Linked DNA regions of Drosophila melanogaster. The protein of the gene in region 3 interacts with the protein of the main gene of each other region in a pairwise test. Each region holds a gene or a part of one and is shown on either strand. Other genes may lie near its edges. The genes, in order: ECSIT, saturn, Sec22 and CG2694.

Region 1 (3,635 bases), on a different chromosome or scaffold from region 3:
TAGGCAGCATTCGCCAGACGGCCGTCATTCGGGGCATTATGGGCGGCGAGCGACTGGGCACAAACGATTGTGCTTCGGTGATGTTCGAGTTCGTCGGCCACCCGGAGTACGTGCGTCCTGGAATGCGCATCCTGTTCCGCGAGGGCACCAGCAAAGGAATCGGAGTTGTCACGCAGGTGTTTCCGGTCAACAAGACAGGCATAAAGTAGAGAAGCGGGCCAGATGGATAGTTCCAATGACATATCTATATATCTCAAACAAAGATGACATGTACATATACTTAATTAGCAATTAGAGGGAGGCGTTAAATCTTAGGCAGATCTTCTGTACACTTAGTTTCGGGTTCTGTGATTTTTCGTTTAAGCTCGGCTCACAATCGGATGTTGTGAGTAATCCTTCTCAATTAACCTTATTTCATTAAAATCCACCCCAAAATGCATACAATGTTGCTTTCAATTCGCGTCCGAGCCAAAGAGTATAAATAATTACCGAAGTATTAATTTTTTTCCTTCTAGCAGATGTACATATATATGTACATATGATCAAAACCGACTAACTTTAAGCAACATTTACCATCAATTCTATGGTATACAAAGACGAAAAAGTGCTCAACAATTTGTTTATTTCTGTCTACTGCTAATGTGCTCATCTTGACTACTGTTATCACTTGTTGCCGGGACACTGGCGCCACCTTCAATTTCCTCCGCCTTGGCTGGCACTTCGGATGTGAACCGGAAGAGGACGGGCACCTCTCCTATGGAGGGATTTCCGTTCGCTTCCAACAGGCGAATCCACGAGAGCAATGAGTCCTTTGTGGAGGTGCCTGTGGCACAGATGGCCATAATGGTTCCGTCGTCCTGTTGGTGGACAGAGCGCAGCTTTCCCAGCTGGTTGTGTCGCCTTGGTGGAGCACGACCAAAGAAGGGTACTTCGATGTGGGAGACATCGTCCTCGTCCAGCTGCCGCTCATCTAATTCAGACAGGAACTCAGAATCTGCATCAGCGCGCAGGGTAAAGTAGTTGATCCGGCGATTCCTAAGCCATATGTGAAAGGGTCCCTCGATGTACAGAGCTTTCTGGCGAGAGTGCTCCCGCAGCAGTTTCTCCTGCTCGGGACTCATTCCGCTCACGATCCACGTATCGTCAATGGCATCCTTCAGCTCGCTGGTCTCGAAAACCGTGATTTTGGACCGCAGGTCGACCGTGCACATCCGCTCTAGCGCCAGCTTGGCCATTTCCAATGTATCATCCGGAACAGGATCGGGCAGTGGCCACGGTGATAGGTTCTTAAACTTTGGCATCCAGTACATCATGCGCCAATACTTGCGCAGTGGATGTCCCTGCCTGCCAAACACATTAAGCAGCATCGCCTCCATCTCGTGATCGGGCATCACCCCGCAATCTTCCATCTGCTCAAGCAGATCAATGATACACTGCTGCTGTTTGGGGTAGTGCATGAACTCTGCCTGGAACATGTTGGTGGGTATGAACTTGCCCTTGGGCATCACGTTGATCAGGGCCTTGTAGACCTCCAAGTCTCTTTCCACCCCGAAATCCGCCATATTCTTGAGTGCCGCGTAGATGAACTCCACATGGTTCCGACGGTGGACGTCGCGCTCCTGGAATATCTCCACCATGGTCAGGTAGCTGTTTTTCGTCCTGTCCTGGGCGGCGGCAAAGGGGTTCCTTAAAGCCGGCAGGTTTTTGGTGCCGGGTTTTTGTGCCCTGGGATTTGGATTCGGGTTCTGTTTCGGATTTCCCTCGTCCGTAGCGTAGTTTCGAAAGCGGCTGACCAGCGAATGGCCTCCATTGCCGTGCAGCCGGAGCAGGCATTGTGCGCGGCGCAGCATTTTTTATTTATAATTAATTAATTGAATAAATTTGCAAATACGATTACAAAACATTGCACAAGCTGCGGAACTAGTTCGCGTTTTGCAGCACTGCTGCTGCAACATATGTTTTAATAGTGCCGATAGTCTAGCGTATTTAGCCAAATTTGGTAAATTCTAGGGCGAAAAATTGTATTTAGTTTCGGCTGTACCCAAAGATTTTCAAGCTTAAATAGTGTCATGACCGTAATACACGCTTAAAGTCATACGCTAGTAACAAAAGTTGAAGTGAATATTGCATAAGCTCATTGTGACTACCTTCACGAATCTCTTCCTTCGGAGAACAGCTGTTTGTCTGGCTTAGGGCCATCATCACTGGTGACTGAGTTGCTCAACACTGTATTAACTCAGTGTATCCTTTGTGCTGCTTTTTGTTGTTATTTCACCGTTTTCTGCGTTATCCTTATTCGCATAGTTTTCGGTTGTTTTTCTGTTGTTTAAGTTAGTTCCGAACCCTGAGTTATTTGCACGGGCGCGCGCCTACATAAAAATGCAATCCAACAAGCCGATCTCTGCGGCGGAGGCCTGACCAGCAGGCAGTATCTATAACAGAAGCAAAACAATAGACTTTGGCTTGGTCCCAAGGAGCACCCACCAGCCCAACGTTATTCGAGACTTCCAGCCGCCAAGGATGCACTGAAGGGAAGCGGAAACCCAAGGAGCATTTGATGTTCCCGCAATGCGAAGAGGGTAAAGAGGATTCGGGCATCACATTCTACTGACATGTTGTGCTTCGACTCGGAGAGGATGAACTGGTACTACCACGTCCTGGCCAGGCGTCCCTACCTGGTGGTCGTCTCCATTGCTGTCTACTGTGTCGCTTGCATCATCGTGGCCCTCGTCCTGAACAAGCTGCCGGACTTCAGTGATCCCACCTTGGTTTGTCCTATTAGATTTGTCCAAAACATGTTCACTGCTTGATATTTGGAGAATATATCTTATCTTATTTTACAATTATTTTTTAAAATATTGAGCACATGGAAATAATCCGAAAATGTCTAAATGATATTATTTTATTTAAATTTCGTTATATATCTATTTTTTTTAAATATTAAGAAGTTAAAATATTTTAAATATTCACAGAATTGCTATAAGAAACTACAGGATTACTTGTATACAAACTATTCCTGTATTATATTTTCATTGTTATTATGTTATTGTTGTAAAAATTGTGGAAAATAATAAGATTAATTTCTCACTAATATGACTTATTTGATCACTTTATAATGTGATTATTTGTCATGATTAATATTTATGATTCAACATTTATTTCACTTTAGGGCTTCGAAACCCGCGGCACCAAAATTGGAGAACGACTGACGGCCTGGTACAACCTGCTGCAAGAGACTGACCACCATGGTGCTCTTTTCTCAAATCCATCGGATCTGTGGGAGAGGAGACGGGTAGAGCAGGGCTATGTGGAGACGAAGCTGCATCCGAATCACAGGCGACGCAAAAACAAGCACAAGAACAGAAACAAGAACAAGCGACGCAAGGAACAAAATCAAAGCAGCCACGAGCATCACGATGTGGCGCAGAAGATGATGCAGTTCAAAAAACGGCTGAAGGCTACTAGTTCTCCCTCTCCAAATCTCGGCTTTGACACCTGGATCGGGGACAGTGGAGTATTTCGCGACTACGAGATTACAAACGACAGCGCTTCCTCCTCTTTGGAACCCACGCGACGCACTGAGCAAATCGAATATGGCCACAACACCACCTCAGTGGACGAGGAAGAGCATCAGC
Region 2 (3,444 bases), on a different chromosome or scaffold from region 3:
TATTGGCAATTTTAAATAATTCTAAATAACTGCCTATATAAATATTTGGAAAATTAGGCGTAAATTTCATTCTATATATGAACTTATATAAAAGAAAATAAGATGATTAGAAAGATTGCTATATTGCTATGTTTCTATTGCGGTTAAAACTGAACCGAATAAGACTATTATTAGATATCCCAATTGATAAAAATTTTTCTTACAGCAATCCTGATAGTTTATCCCAGCGTCGTTGGGGATCCATGAGACAGTAAGCACCCTTGAATATAATTTCTTTCGGGGTTTCATGTAGAGCTTCATATAAATCATAACCCCCATTCTTGCTCCATTTTGGTTTTGGTTTTTTGATTTGTAAATAAAAATATTTATAATTTATCTTAATTAAAAAAATTATTGGTGCACTGCTCCTTAAAAAATATATATATATAGTTTTTAATTCAGTATTTGTCCTCATCACATTTGATGTTTTCACAAGCGTTTCCATGACTTCGCTTATCTAAGATTGTTAATTTCAGCTATAAGTTGCCTTTGGTTTTTTTCCCAATTTTCCATTAGCTGGTTTGCTCAATTGCTTGTTTTTCTTCTGCCTAAATTAGTTATCAGTTTTTCCCATCTTATTCGCCTGTTTCAATTGTTGTACAACTACATAGATGTTCAATTGGGCAATTTTCAAGAGCTTTCCTAACGCTGCCACCCCCAAAAACTAAAATTTATGATTATTGCCGGCGGGGGAGGCTGTCATAAAAGTTACAACCGAAAAAAAAATTGCTCTCTTTTCTGGGACTTAATTGCAACTGAAACCAAAACGAAAGTAAAATAAATATATCAGATTAACAGCATGAGATTTATGTTAGTACAATGAGAGAGCTCCAAGATGGAATCTGCTGCAATTTATATAACTTCCTTTGGCAGTTCTGCTTGTCAACTGGCGACCGTGCTTCCTGCTGCCATCTTCTTGAGCCAAAAGTAGTTTGGCCGCTTTTGTGAACTTTTCTCGGGGACCGAGCGAAAAGGTTGAAGGTAGAAGATGCGGGTCTTTTCTTGTCTCCCCTCAATTTAGCCAACTCCTTCCCTCTTGATGTGGCTTACAAGTTGGCTGACTCGATGGGGTTGTCATGCTGTTGGAATTTATTTTTTCGCTCATCCGATCGGAGGAAGTGAAGTGAGAGGGTTCCAGAAACAGGTTTAACTTGCCGCAATTGTTAACTCTTCAGAATTTAGGCCGGCACTTTTGTCAAGTCGCGAACAAAATTTGACCCAAAATAAAACTCAGTCTGCTGATGTTATCGATTCTGACACATTTATCTCGTATCGTTATGTACTGTTATATACTTTTGATCATTTTGATCATTAAACTAAGGCTGTAATAGTTAGATCATTACTAGAGCATCGATCAATATCGATTAGCATTTCAATTATTAAACAAATTTTTTTCATAAACATTTCTTCGAAAATTATGCACGAAATCGGATAAAGTAATTAAAATCGTCTGCATTTAAGGCGTGTGCAAATCAGTTAACCCCACGCAGGCTATAAATTGTGGTTGCTCTGTCAACTTTCCGGACCTTGATGTTCTTCCCATGGCTTCTACTCTTTTCGAAGCAACTACAACTTGGGCCGACTTGAATTTGTCATGCAAATGCCTTTGTTTTTGCTCCGCTGCTGGGAACATGTTTTTCCCACTCTCTGCACTTGGCATTCAAAAAAGCTGCACTGGGAAATGGTGGGGGAAAATGCATTAAAGAACCGAGAACAATTAGGGAAAATTGTGGGAAGAGGTTAAAGATTTTTATCTGAAAAAGGAAAGGGAATGAGTGGAATTCTACAATTATTTTCTTTAAAAGAACGAATATTTTTCCACATAGGAACATTTTAAATGTTGTCATTTGAATTCAGTCTAGCAAGCAAAGAAAATACTTTTCAAATCACATTATAAAAGTGATAACATCACCGGTTGGTTATCCGTTTTAATACAACCTAAATTACAGATAGAAACTAACAAAAAGTCAGGCCCAAAATGTGGAACTATCGTCAGAAAGTTGATTTGGAAACATCGGTAAAGATATCGCCGTATTGCAATTCTTGGCCATCGGCTTGTTGGTTTACTCTTAAAGGCATTGATTTGTTGAAACTTCTGGTATTGGAAAGATCACCAACTTACCTGGTGATTCTTACGATTGTCCTTATCGTACTCCTCTTACTTGTATTTAAAAGATTCAAACACAAATGGAACGATGTAAGTTAAAGGGGGGGGAAAACGTACAGTAGAAGGGGCTTAATAGGGTTTTGTTCTAGGTGCCTATGTCGGAGATTGAGTCACTGAGAAAACGTGTTAAGTTTGTAACCAAGGATATGGCCATGCTGCAAGAAGCCCTAAATTCGACCGTAATACCCAAGCCGCCGCTAGCGATTTCTGATGATATTAGGAGTAATATTAATTACTTGGATGAACCAGAGTCCAACGCAAATGATGACAAACTTTCAGAATTTAAAGAAATCTTTGATCCTTTCCCCCCAGAATTCGACAAAATTAGTGAAACTAAAGCGCTAGTACGAGAAGAAAATAAACCGGAGCCTGTGATTCCAGACGCCGAACCTCGAGAAGATTCCGTAGTAAAAAATAGGGTGCGATTTGCTCTAACAGATCAGGGAAAACCAGCCAAAGATGAGACCAAGCACATTAATATAGCGAAACCCACGAAGATTATAGCTGAAAATAATGTATCCGTGGAAAATAGAAATATGCGTAAACGGTCATCTCCTTCAAACACGAAAACGGGATGGAAGCTCTAGATCTATTTTCAGGAATTTTCATATTGAAATTTCATTAAAATTGTAGTGCTCGAATTTGTAATAAACCATTCATAGTGATTTGTATAAAACTTGTTGTGATCGTAATTCATTATAGCCCTATGCCAACCTTGACATCTTGCCTTCGCAAGCGTTTTGGCTTTAAGTGATTTCCAATTGTCTTTCGTGGTAATTTTCACCTATTTCATTGTGTATCTCTGTTTTCCCGTGCATAGTTCCCAAGTCTACGTGGTTGGCCCTCAATTAGCCTTAAAGGTGGCCGGCTGCCTAATCGAGGCAGTTTCCAAGCCACTTTGCGGGGGCCCAACATTGTTTGGCAGTTGGCTTGCATTTCTTGGCTATTTGGCAGACCTGGCGACAATTTCCCGTTTTTTTCCCCCTGCATGTATTTGAATTATTTGGCAGCTGAAAACGGCTTGAAAGTACGTCTGTCGCCAATTTGGCTTCGGTTTTAGGTAATTGCCATCTATCTAATAGGTACATGAGAATGTTTATTGTTGGCCAGATTTGTAGATGTTGCATAGTTTTAGTTTTTAGTATCGCCGAACAACATGTTGGCAGCAAACAAGTTGCATGGGAAAGTGTATGGGATTGTAAAAGAGTTGCCAGATAAAAAAGAAAAACAGTACCATC
Region 3 (4,566 bases):
ATCATCTGTCACGTCATCGGTGGACAAATCATCTCCTCCAGCCCCTCCGACTCCGTTGGCAGACGGAACAGCACTATCAGCTTGTCCACCGGCAAGCGGAGTAAACACGGCAGCCAGACGCACAGGCACAAAGGCTGGGAGCCGCACTGTAATGGGAGTGCCGGAGGGCGGAACAGCCGGTGACGGGATTGCAACGGAGACTGGTATGGGTGTGGGTCGTGGCGGAGGAGGTGGTGGTGGTGGCAGTGGAGGCGGAGGAGGTCTACGTGTGCTGGCATCCGCTGGCGACGCAGTCGTTGTTGTGGCCGATTCCTCCTCGACCTCCTTCCAGGCCTCCAGCAGGGTCAGCAGCTCATCCTTGCTCATGTGGCCGAGACCAACGGGGCTGTAGGGCCACTCGCCCACTCCGAGTCCACTACCAACACTATTCCAGCCTAAAGAGGGCACTTGTTCCACTTGCTCTACGTGACCCAGCGGAGTCTCGAACAGGCTCCTTTGGGGACGTGTGAGGAGCAGCTGCTGACCAGCCAGCCCATTGCACAGGATCTGCATGAGGAGACCCAGGAGCGTCGCACGAACTGACCCGGCCATGACTGACTTTGTATTGTGGAGCCTCTAGGTGGAGCAGTGGCTTATATATACATACCTGCTTTCAACGGAACGAGGAAGGAGGCCAAGCCGAGCAAAACGGAAGCGCACGCATTCCGCTGCGGGTGATCCGATCACACGATGAGAAAATAGGTTGACCGCAGTCCTCGATGGGCTCAGAGTTAATTGAAATGCATTCGATTTAAGATCACAGTACAAGCATTTTAAATAATGTCATAAGCTTTCCCGCTTTGATCACAAACTTGTGTATATCTTAGCATTCTTCGGTATGAGCAGAAATGGGAATGGTTATTCGCATTCGCTTGCAGGGCTTCAATTCATAATATACATAGATGAATAAGTCGCATTCGATATGAATTATTTTCCCAGTGCAAAGATTTTTCCGGTGGTCGCTTGAAACGCACATTCGCACGCAGCTCCATCGCCAAGTACCACAGGTAGTCCATATAGTTGGGTCCCTGCCTCAAGTCCAAGTCCGGTTTCGCGGGCGAACCACTTTTCCTTCTGGGGATGGATGTGGATGTCCATGCAGAGGATGGTCTTCGCGGGCGAACCGGTTGGGCTTGGTCATCGACTTTTGGGGGGTCCAACCCACTTCCGGCATCTGCGCCAGCGGATTTGAGTCTGCGAAAGCGGCGCGACGTGCCAGGGATTTCGATTTATGTTGGTTAATAATTTAAATAAATATTTATTTATATTTAAATATTTGAAATAATATATTCGCAACTCGATTGCCAATATAAAAAATAAAAATACCAAAGACCAATTGGTCGGATTGGGACTCAAAACAGCTATAGAACAATGCATCTGGGCGCCAGGTTCATGGGTGAATCGAAGTATTGTACTTCTATTGAACTTCTGGGGATCCTTAATCCGCATCCTGTGTACAACACACGCATACAAAAAGCAAACTCCACATTACAGCAGAGCGCAAGCTGTCAAAGCTGTAGACCTGGGAAAATAGCTTTGCGGGAAAGCCCGGAAACTCGAAAGCGCCATTTTCAGGGGCATGCTGGCTTGAAAACGAGTTGAAAGCGTATTTCCATATCGTGCATTTAAAGAAACGAAGAAACGAATGGTATAATGGACTTCCGTTAATGTGACCGTTGGCGGTCGGTACTCTGAGATACTCTGCGGTATTCGGTATGCCTCGCACCATTCGGTATATTTACACGGACATACCGGTGACGTGGTTACATTGCAACAAACATCCACAGAAACCTCCAATCCACTCCAATCCCAGACACCCGCCCGCCGCGACGTTGCAACACAGTTTTCATGGTAGCAGCGAACGTTCCCGATTCGAGGCAGAGTCCATTTGGAAGTCCCGGGCATCGCAGGAGCACTGCGGCAAGCACCGACCGATCGGCTGAGTTGTGAAATCCAAGAAGTGGAAGAGGACGACCGGACACAAACTTCACACACTGGTGACTGGACTGCAGCGGATCCACATCGGAATAAGTAGCAGCCAGTGGAAGGAGGCGACGGCAGAGTGCAGCCGTGGCCAAGAAGACTTGAGACGCAGCCCCGTAGTTCCGCGAGCAATCGTAACCAGGAACAGCAGAAGCCATGGCGCTGCTGACCATGATAGCCAGGGTCATCGATGGCCTTCCTCTGGTGGGGACCATGCAGGATGACGAGCAGGTACCCGTGTGCATCACTTTCTAATACGTTGCATTCCGTTCCGCTCCCGCAACTAAGTCGCTTTCACTTTCAGAGCGGACGCAGCATACTGGACTACCAAAACCAGGCTAAGATGCTCTTCCGCAAGCTGGGTACCCACTCCCCGGCTCGATGCAGTATCGAGACCGGACCCTACCTATTCCAGTGAGTAGCCCCAATTCGTGGCACCTTTGCCAGGGCATAGACCATTAAAATCACACCATGTACAAAGGTTTCTCGGCTCCGCGGGTAGTCAGTGACAGTTGATTTAGTTTCGGAACAAAGAGTATAGATGTAATTTGATACGAAGTTAAATTAAACGCTCACTGCTTGCGAAAGCCAGAAGATGCAATGGGCGCCCCAATTAAAATATTCCACATTTTCCCTGCAGCTACCTAATCGAGAACGACGTCTGCTACCTGGTGATGGTGGACAAGATGTACTCAAAGCGACTGGCCTTCAATTACCTGGAGGACCTGGCCCAGGAGTTCCATGCTAACTACGGCCGGCGAGTAAACTCAGTGACTCGCCCATACGCATTCATCGAGTTTGACGTGTACATACAGAAGGCGAAAAAACAGTTGACGGACCGCAGACGCAACATCAGCAACATCAACACACAGCTGCAGGATGTGCAGCGCATCATGGTGCAAAACATTGACGACGTGCTCCAACGTGGCACAGTGCTGGCGGGTAACTACTACTACTACTATCTACGCGACTATCTACGCGTGATTGTGGGATTCAACTGACGTTCACCCCGTTTTTCCTTCCAGAACTCGACACCAAGACCCAGAACCTATCGATGATGTCACAGAAGTACAAGAAGGACGCCAAGCTGCTCAACCGAAAGTCCATGTACGTGAAGGCGATGGCCTTGGGCATGATACTTCTAGTGTTCATCATGTATTTCTGGGTTCTGTAATATCAAGCAGTTCCATGGCCACTCGGAGCGGCGCGTTCTTTGTTGGAGTCAAGCGTCAAGGACGCAAGACCAAAAGACATTTAGATTACGCGTGCACCTGTACTCCACGCCACCAACCACACCATATTCATTCATATCTATGAATCATAGGCAAGCGAAAAGTGAATAGCGAAACCCCCTACCAGCATACGCATCGCTCCCGAGGATTGTTTTACTTCTAATATTAACTTACCTTTGCGTTATTTACGGTCTGGGATTCCATTAATTATTAACTCCCATTTCATTTCGCCTCGCGCTTCCGTTGCGCAGGTTTTCTAAATATTTGATTACGAATCGGGTTTAGTTTAGACGACCTTTGAGCCAAGTCGGTTGACTACGACCCAAATCTGTAAATTATGAGCGTCGATCCGTGTGTGTGTGTATAAATGTCTAGATTGTAGATGGATCGCTGCATAGCGAATCCGAATCCGGCGGAGTGCTTGATACAAGCTGCAAAAACACCGCAAAAAACAAAAGAAAAAGAAAAGATAACAAGCGAACCGAAAGAAAAGAAAAGAAGAGAAAGGGAAATAAACAATAACAGTTTTAGGCAATTTATATGTGTAAAATTAAGGCAAATAAATAAATTTATATTGTTTAATAAAGAGAAGGCAAAACTGTGTTCGATGCACTACCCAAGCCCGAAAGATAGAAACTGCATCTGATTTTTGGTTTAGTTTTAATCGATAATTTCCCTTTATATATTTTTCGATTCACTGAGTGTGATGTGATACATTCGCCTTTATAGTTTATATCCACTTGCAAGCCTTCGAATTACGATTCTTCTCAATGAATTTCTCGATCTGATCCGATCCCGATCCCATTCGGTCTCATATCGTCCCGCTAAATGTCCGTTTTCGTTGCGTCTCAGCGCATATAAATTTGTAATATCAAATCTTTACAATTAGGAAAAAAATGCGCTGTTGCCATATACACTGCTATATCGTAATTTGGTGTGTATAGTTTTGTGAAATATCGAATCCGAATACATATATACGCTCTCTACATAACTACATATGAATGCATATGCTTTGTGGGGGGGGATGTGTGAAATGGTCTGCAATAATTAATTAACTGGGGAGAAGAGCAATCATCTACCGAATTTTGCAACCTCCTCTGGCTTCCGTGTACTAGGCTGTGGTTCTGCTGAAGCTCTGGTGGTGAGTGGGATCGAAAATAAATTACGCGGTCTATAAAATCGAAGTTTTAGTTTATGCGAAAACCATACGAGTCGGGCGTGGCGGGGCGGGTCGGGGCGTAACTGGAACTATTTAGATATACAATAGATGGGTATGCTTGGTTGATAGCCCGCACTAGGCTCAAAATTCTTT
Region 4 (5,795 bases), 1.9 Mb from region 3:
GGCCCAAGATTAGGAATTGGCGGTAGGTGTGGCAGCTGTGGCGGCGCAGGCACAGACGACGCTGGTGGCAGCGGAATAGTCGGCAATGTGGGCGCTGTCGGAGGAGCTGGCGCGGGTGTCGCTGTAGATGATTTGACTGATGCTGGCTTGGTCGGCACTTCGGGCATATTTTCATCCTCATCCTGGTCATCGTCGTCCTCATCGTCCGTACTGCTGGCGGTTCTCTTATCGGAGTCAGATGTTCGTTCCTCTATCTTATCTATATCTTTCCCATCGTCCTCCTCCCGCTTTTTGTCGGCCTCGTCCTCTTTAGCCGCCAGTTTTCGATGCTTACGCTTGTGCACATGCTCCATTTCCTTCATGAAGTCGTCGATATTTTGGTTATTTGGCTCGGTGGCCTCGCTGTTCTTGTCCTTCTCTTTATCCTTGCCCTTCTTCAATGGCTCTGGCTCCTCCTCCTCGCCCTCACCATCGTAGTCAGTATTTCCCTCGGCATCGGAATTGAGTTCGGAAAAGGCAAACAGATCTGGCGGCGGTCCCGGCGGGACACCCAGCCAATCCTTTTGCTCGTTCTCCTTCGATTTCTCCACTTGCGCCTCGCTGGCTAAATCGCTATTTCTGGACACGCCTGGTGGAGCGCCTGGAGCATAAGGCGGCAGTGCCATTGTCATGGGCGGTGGGGGAAGGCGTATGACAACGGATGCGCCGAATCCCGCAACCACCGATCCGCCAGTCGTTTCGGTAGAACCGCCTGACACGGCAGACACCGGAGCGGGCAGTGGAATTTCGTCAATCTGGACGCTCTGGGCGTGCTTAACGCTTTCGTAGTACTGCTGCTTCTTCAGGCGCTTCTTCTCATACTCCACCTCCTTGCGCTTGAGGTCCGCCCAGTGCTCCGGCTCGTCATTGTGCTGGAAGATGGATATTTCAGTTGTTAGGTGGACTACACTATTATCGTGCCGAGTTGGTCTTACATAGAGTCGCATTACGCGGTCGAATGTTTCCTTCAGCTTTTTGCGCTTGTCGCGCAGCACCTTCTCGTTCAGCGGCGATGGTTGCAGAACGTTGTACTCTGCAAATTGTAGACGCTGCATGAGTGGCTGACGCGAATCCTGCAGGCTCGATGGACTACTCACCCATCTCGTCGATCTTCTCCATCTCCTCAAGTATCTGTGAAGGATCCTTGTTCTTCAAAACGGCGGCCCGCACCATTTGGCGCTGTTTCTTGTTCTTCTTGAGCTCCTTCTTGCGGGCCTCCTTGCCTGAAAGGTGCAGCATGGTGGATTCAACATATCGAGCTAAAAAGGATCATACTTACGCGCCTGGTCCGTGGGATTCATGTACTTTCCACTCTTCGTGGTGTTTATGGAGCGGCGTCCCATCTTGCTGGCTATTTCTTGTTGCTGCAACTAAACGAATGACTTCACCTAAACGCCGGCGCTGCAATATTGTTACCGGCGTTTTTTTCCTGCCCAACGTCCTAATTTGCTTTTATAATATCACTTTCAATTGATTTATTTATATTTTTATTTATTTATTCGTTTGCAGCTCGATAGGCCGATACACGCGCAGGCTGATATCGATAAAAACAGAACAGTAAGCACTAGAGCTCGAAGTGTGACCAACAAAATTTGGCGGGGAATAGCTAACATCCCATACGCTCAAAAGTTTTCTCCGATGTTTTTCATCACTAGCCAGGATTAGAAAAACGATAGACGATTATTACCGCCACATAGGTAACGCGGCAACAGACGCGAAATTGCCAGTACGATGGCATTCGAGAGCTCTGCACAGCAGTTAAAGATTCCGGACGAAAGGATGAATGCACAGTTGAACAATAGTGGCGTACAGGTAGGATGTGAACCAGTCGCCAGCCAGGTCAGTCAATCCTAAGCCCATTTGGTTGATTTCATGTAACCGCGTGCAAGGCGTCGCAATCCCATGTCCTATTCACACCCAATCAGATACCGGGCGCGCTGATAAGGATTTCAGACGATTTCCTTACCTCCACGCCGGGAGAGGGCCAGAAGGACGTGCCCACCACGGAGAGCACAAAATTGCAGAACCTGCACAGCCGCAAGCTGTGGGACATAGGTAATAACAATGTTATCTACTTGACACCTGCATTTTCATTTCGTTTTCATGATGCAGGTCCTGGTTCCATTCATGGCGAGGGGAAGACACCGAAGTTGGCCGTGAAGCGTCTCTGGCCAGGCTGCGGGGACGACGAGCCGAACGCCAAAAAAGGTAAGTGGGTCTGGTTATGGGAATATGGGATATCGGGCAGCCCAAGCTAAATTCATGCAGGCAACTAGCTGTGCTTGTGCTTTTTAAGTCATCCCAATAACCGGCCTCAAACTTTCCCGCTATCAGTCAACATTGCCGTTTACAGAGCTTCTCGTGCCGTTGTTTTTCAGCACTGGCATTCGAGCAATTTGTGTCGATATACGATAGGAAAATAACGCCGCTACCTCAAATCGAAAAAAGTCAAAGCCGCAAACAAAATAACGAATTCGATTTCGCATTCGAAATGTCCGCGAAGCCAAGTGCCAATTCGGAGGACATCCTTCTGGCCGGCCTGCTCCAGGACTGGAAACTAGAGGACCATGACAACGCACAGATTGGCTGCGACCCAGCGCCCATGCCGGCCAGTCAATCCGAATTGGCACTGGTTCATTTGAAGTTGCCGTGCAAGACGCCCCAATCCCAGCCCCAGGTGGAAGCCCATCAAAATGCTTCAGTTGCGACCGTCAACAGCGACAGCGGAAGCATAATACTAGTGTCCGATGATTCCTCAGCTACGGCGTGCAGCTTCCTTCACTCGTCCGAGCTCTGTAACTCCTCCGACTTCGAAGAACTGCGCAAGGAGTTCACCGAGGACTCCTCATACATCGATCTCTCACTTGATTCGGGCAGCAGCAGTGAGTGCCGATCAATCAGTAATAACAATAATAATTATAACACTGCGAATGCAATAGATCCTAGTGCCATTGAAACCGACATGAAGACACACAAACTGGGCGCGAAGCGCAGATCGCCGCAGACCAAGGGCGATGTGTTGGCCAAAAAGATTTGTGAGTAAGAGGTCGAATTGATCTGCAACCTTAGGGGCACCTGCTCTAGCTAAACCATTTACTAAATTGCTACTACGCAGCTTACCAGAATCTGAACGAGATGAACATCTCCTCGAATCAACCCGTGGTGACGCGCAGTGGTCGTGTTGTGGTCTCACGTCCGAACCAGCAGTTTGACTACTCCTCCTCCTCCCAGTCGAAGGGCGATGGCGAGGAGGACTCCGACGAGGTGTCACTGGATGCCGACGACGATGAGTATGAGGGAGAAGATTTCGATCAGCTCAAGTGGACGGAGCGCAAACGGCGTAGCTTTAGAAACACCAGCTTAGCCTTCAGCCCCGATGGCAGCCGCTCGTCGCCGGAGGCAACACCTCCGATGGTCTATGTCGAATTGGGCGGCAAAATCGTGATCATTAGGGATAAACCACAGCCCAATATCGTTCTGGAAGACGATAAGGAACTCAAGACGCAGATGCACAAGTTTTTGGGTCTGATTCCATCACGTCGCAAGCTCTTCGATCCGTCGGAATACAATATGGATCGGGGGGATATTGAGATGGATGTGTACGTACCGACCAGTCTTGTTACCAATCCATCACCTAGGTCCTCACCAAGCCCAGTTACTCCATCGGCCAGGTCACGAATATGGCAGGAAACAACGCCGACATCCATTTGCTCCAACTTGAATTTATCGCATACCTACACACCGACCGTGAATGAGCTCCAGACTAAGCACATGGATGACTCTATAATCCAGGTGAATTTGGACTGCTTTCAGAAGAAAACACCAGACTCTGTCAAGGAGCCCATTGATCTAAGCGAGCTTCCCAGCCAAAAGCAACTAGCCACCAACTGCCGCCGCCACAAGAGCTGTGTAGCCCGCCTGGAGCGGCACCCACATTTCTACGGTTTCGTCCAGTCGCTCAGACCGTCAGTCTCGCTCAACATGTGCCATCCGCTGGCCCTCACCTTCCGGCGGACCAATTTCCAGCAATCTAAGGTGGCACTGGCCAAGGTTCTGTTCAACATGTTCAATCACGCGGTCTTCCACTGTGGCCTGCAGGTGCCCATTGTTTGGAAGCACGCAATGAAGAAGCGCTGGAAATGCGAGCTTGGCTTCGACGCCTCCGGCAGGCGCACAGCACAGATCCTGCTTCTGCACAGCATAGACACTGCGGCCGAGCTTATCTATCTCCTGCTGCACGAGATGTGCCATGTGGCGGCTTTCCTGTTCAACCGGGAGTTGGGTCACGGCGACAACTGCCGCAGATGGTAAGATCATTACTTTCTATACATTTAATGTGTCATCACTTATCTGTGCCCATTCCTCAGGACCTACCAGGCGAAGATGGCCTTTCCGGAGGTGCCCGCCCTCATGGAGTGCATAGCTAGCTTCATGTATACGTGCAGCATGTGCAGCCGTTCCTCCTACGGCTTGGCCGACTTGAAATCGTACAACATACGCTGCTACTACTGCCAGTTCGAGGTGAGCGTGAAGCCCGTTAGCAAGGCGAACATGCACGAGGGCGCCCGTTCCGATCGGACGATGACACCGTTCAAGTGTTTCATCCGTGACAAGTATTTGAAGCTGGGCGCGGAGGGGGGCGTCACACACTCCTCGAAGATGGCGCTACTCAACGAAATGTTCGCGAAGATGACAGCCGCCACGGAATAGCTGGCAGCTGTCTAGCGGCTAGCACACAACTTGAAGAATATATTTTATAAGTACTATATGAACAACCATGGAAGGCGGCCCCATCAAAATGGAGCAGCCTCCAGTGAAAACGAACACGCTGTGACCTACTTTATATACCTACCTACATTTTATACAAACTTCTATAACCTGTACAATGGCGCTATATGGGATGGGGGGCTCCACGGAGCCCCAGAATCCCGAGAAGGCGTTCGTCAGCTAGTCTACGTGTTAACTAGTATATACTTTTATGTTTAACTAACAAATTACATGTGAATACTACTACAGTAAGTCTCGTCGGAACGCTGGTGGCTATTGAAATAGCATGTCGCTGTTTTTTTTCTACGGAATCAAATGAGAAATCAAAACAATTTAATATGAGAAACCATCATAGTCGCATGTTTGAAGAAATGGAAGGCATTGTTTGTTTGTTTTTGTGAGAATTTTCTGTTTGCCAACTTCTTGTTAATGGCACCCCAAAAATGAAAACGACAATTATACAAATGCAAATACAGATACACCAATTTTAGATAATTTTATTTCAATCTAAATCCCCTCTATCGAGCTGCGCTGCGCCTAACCCATCATGCCCTTGCTGCGCTTGAAGGCTGCTCCTGCCTTGCGATTATGATTGGCACGAGTGGACTTGTGGGCCTCCTTTTGGCCACGACTGCGCTGCGTCTGCTGGGACTGCCCCTGGCCCTTGGGTGCTCCGACCACAGAGGGACTCGCTCCATGTCCACCACTCTTTTGGCCGTATTTGGATAACTGGCGCTGCTCGTAGCGGGCGCGTATCACCTCTGGATTCTCGCAAAAGTCTCTGTTGGTGCGCATCGACGGCTCCGGGTCCGAATGGCCGCCGGAGCTCTCCTCGTCGTCGTTCTCCAGCTCATCCTGTGCGTTGTACGCCGAACTGGAGGCGGCTTCCTGGAGCCTTCCGCGCAGCAGACTCACAGGCGGCGCTTGACCCTCGTTTTGAGCCTCGTAGCTGTCGTCGTACTCGTCGTCATACTCGCCCCTCTCGAGCG

The links.
Region 1: the proteins of Sec22 (region 3) and ECSIT interact in a two-hybrid assay, tested with the Drosophila melanogaster proteins (one large-scale study listed by BioGRID).
Region 2: the proteins of Sec22 (region 3) and saturn interact in a two-hybrid assay, tested with the Drosophila melanogaster proteins (one large-scale study listed by BioGRID).
Region 4: the proteins of Sec22 (region 3) and CG2694 interact in a two-hybrid assay, tested with the Drosophila melanogaster proteins (one large-scale study listed by BioGRID).

Annotation. Positions count from the first base shown.
Region 1 is NT_033777.3:5,854,886-5,858,520, reverse strand, and holds ECSIT (ECSIT), read right to left. Parts: upstream 1,937-3,635; 5' UTR 1,851-1,936; coding exon 621-1,850; 3' UTR 607-620; downstream 1-606. Other genes in the region: CG2017 (uncharacterized protein), read left to right, coding at 1-209; disp (dispatched), read left to right, coding at 2,613-2,768, 3,170-3,635. UniProt on the Drosophila melanogaster protein: As part of the MCIA complex, involved in the assembly of the mitochondrial complex I. Involved in the innate immune response; promotes the production of antibacterial peptides.
Region 2 is NT_037436.4:14,201,417-14,204,860, forward strand, and holds saturn (saturn), read left to right. Parts: upstream 1-1,906; 5' UTR 1,907-2,017; coding exon 2,018-2,236; intron 2,237-2,295; coding exon 2,296-2,793; 3' UTR 2,794-2,878; downstream 2,879-3,444.
Region 3 is NC_004354.4:804,307-808,872, forward strand, and holds Sec22 (secretory 22), read left to right. Parts: upstream 1-1,769; 5' UTR 1,770-2,178; coding exon 2,179-2,259; intron 2,260-2,326; coding exon 2,327-2,436; intron 2,437-2,662; coding exon 2,663-2,964; intron 2,965-3,047; coding exon 3,048-3,196; 3' UTR 3,197-3,894; downstream 3,895-4,566. Other genes in the region: CG13358 (uncharacterized protein), read right to left, coding at 1-591.
Region 4 is NC_004354.4:2,712,360-2,718,154, forward strand, and holds CG2694 (uncharacterized protein), read left to right. Parts: upstream 1-1,719; 5' UTR 1,720-1,770; coding exon 1,771-1,851; coding exon of another isoform or gene 1,852-1,878; exon of another isoform or gene 1,879-1,928; coding exon 1,929-2,094; intron 2,095-2,151; coding exon 2,152-2,247; intron 2,248-2,417; coding exon 2,418-2,921; intron 2,922-2,978; coding exon 2,979-3,074; intron 3,075-3,154; coding exon 3,155-4,346; intron 4,347-4,406; coding exon 4,407-4,749; 3' UTR 4,750-5,295; downstream 5,296-5,795. Other genes in the region: CG2685 (uncharacterized protein), read right to left, coding at 1-911, 975-1,072, 1,137-1,262, 1,319-1,382; CG2701 (uncharacterized protein), read right to left, coding at 5,344-5,795.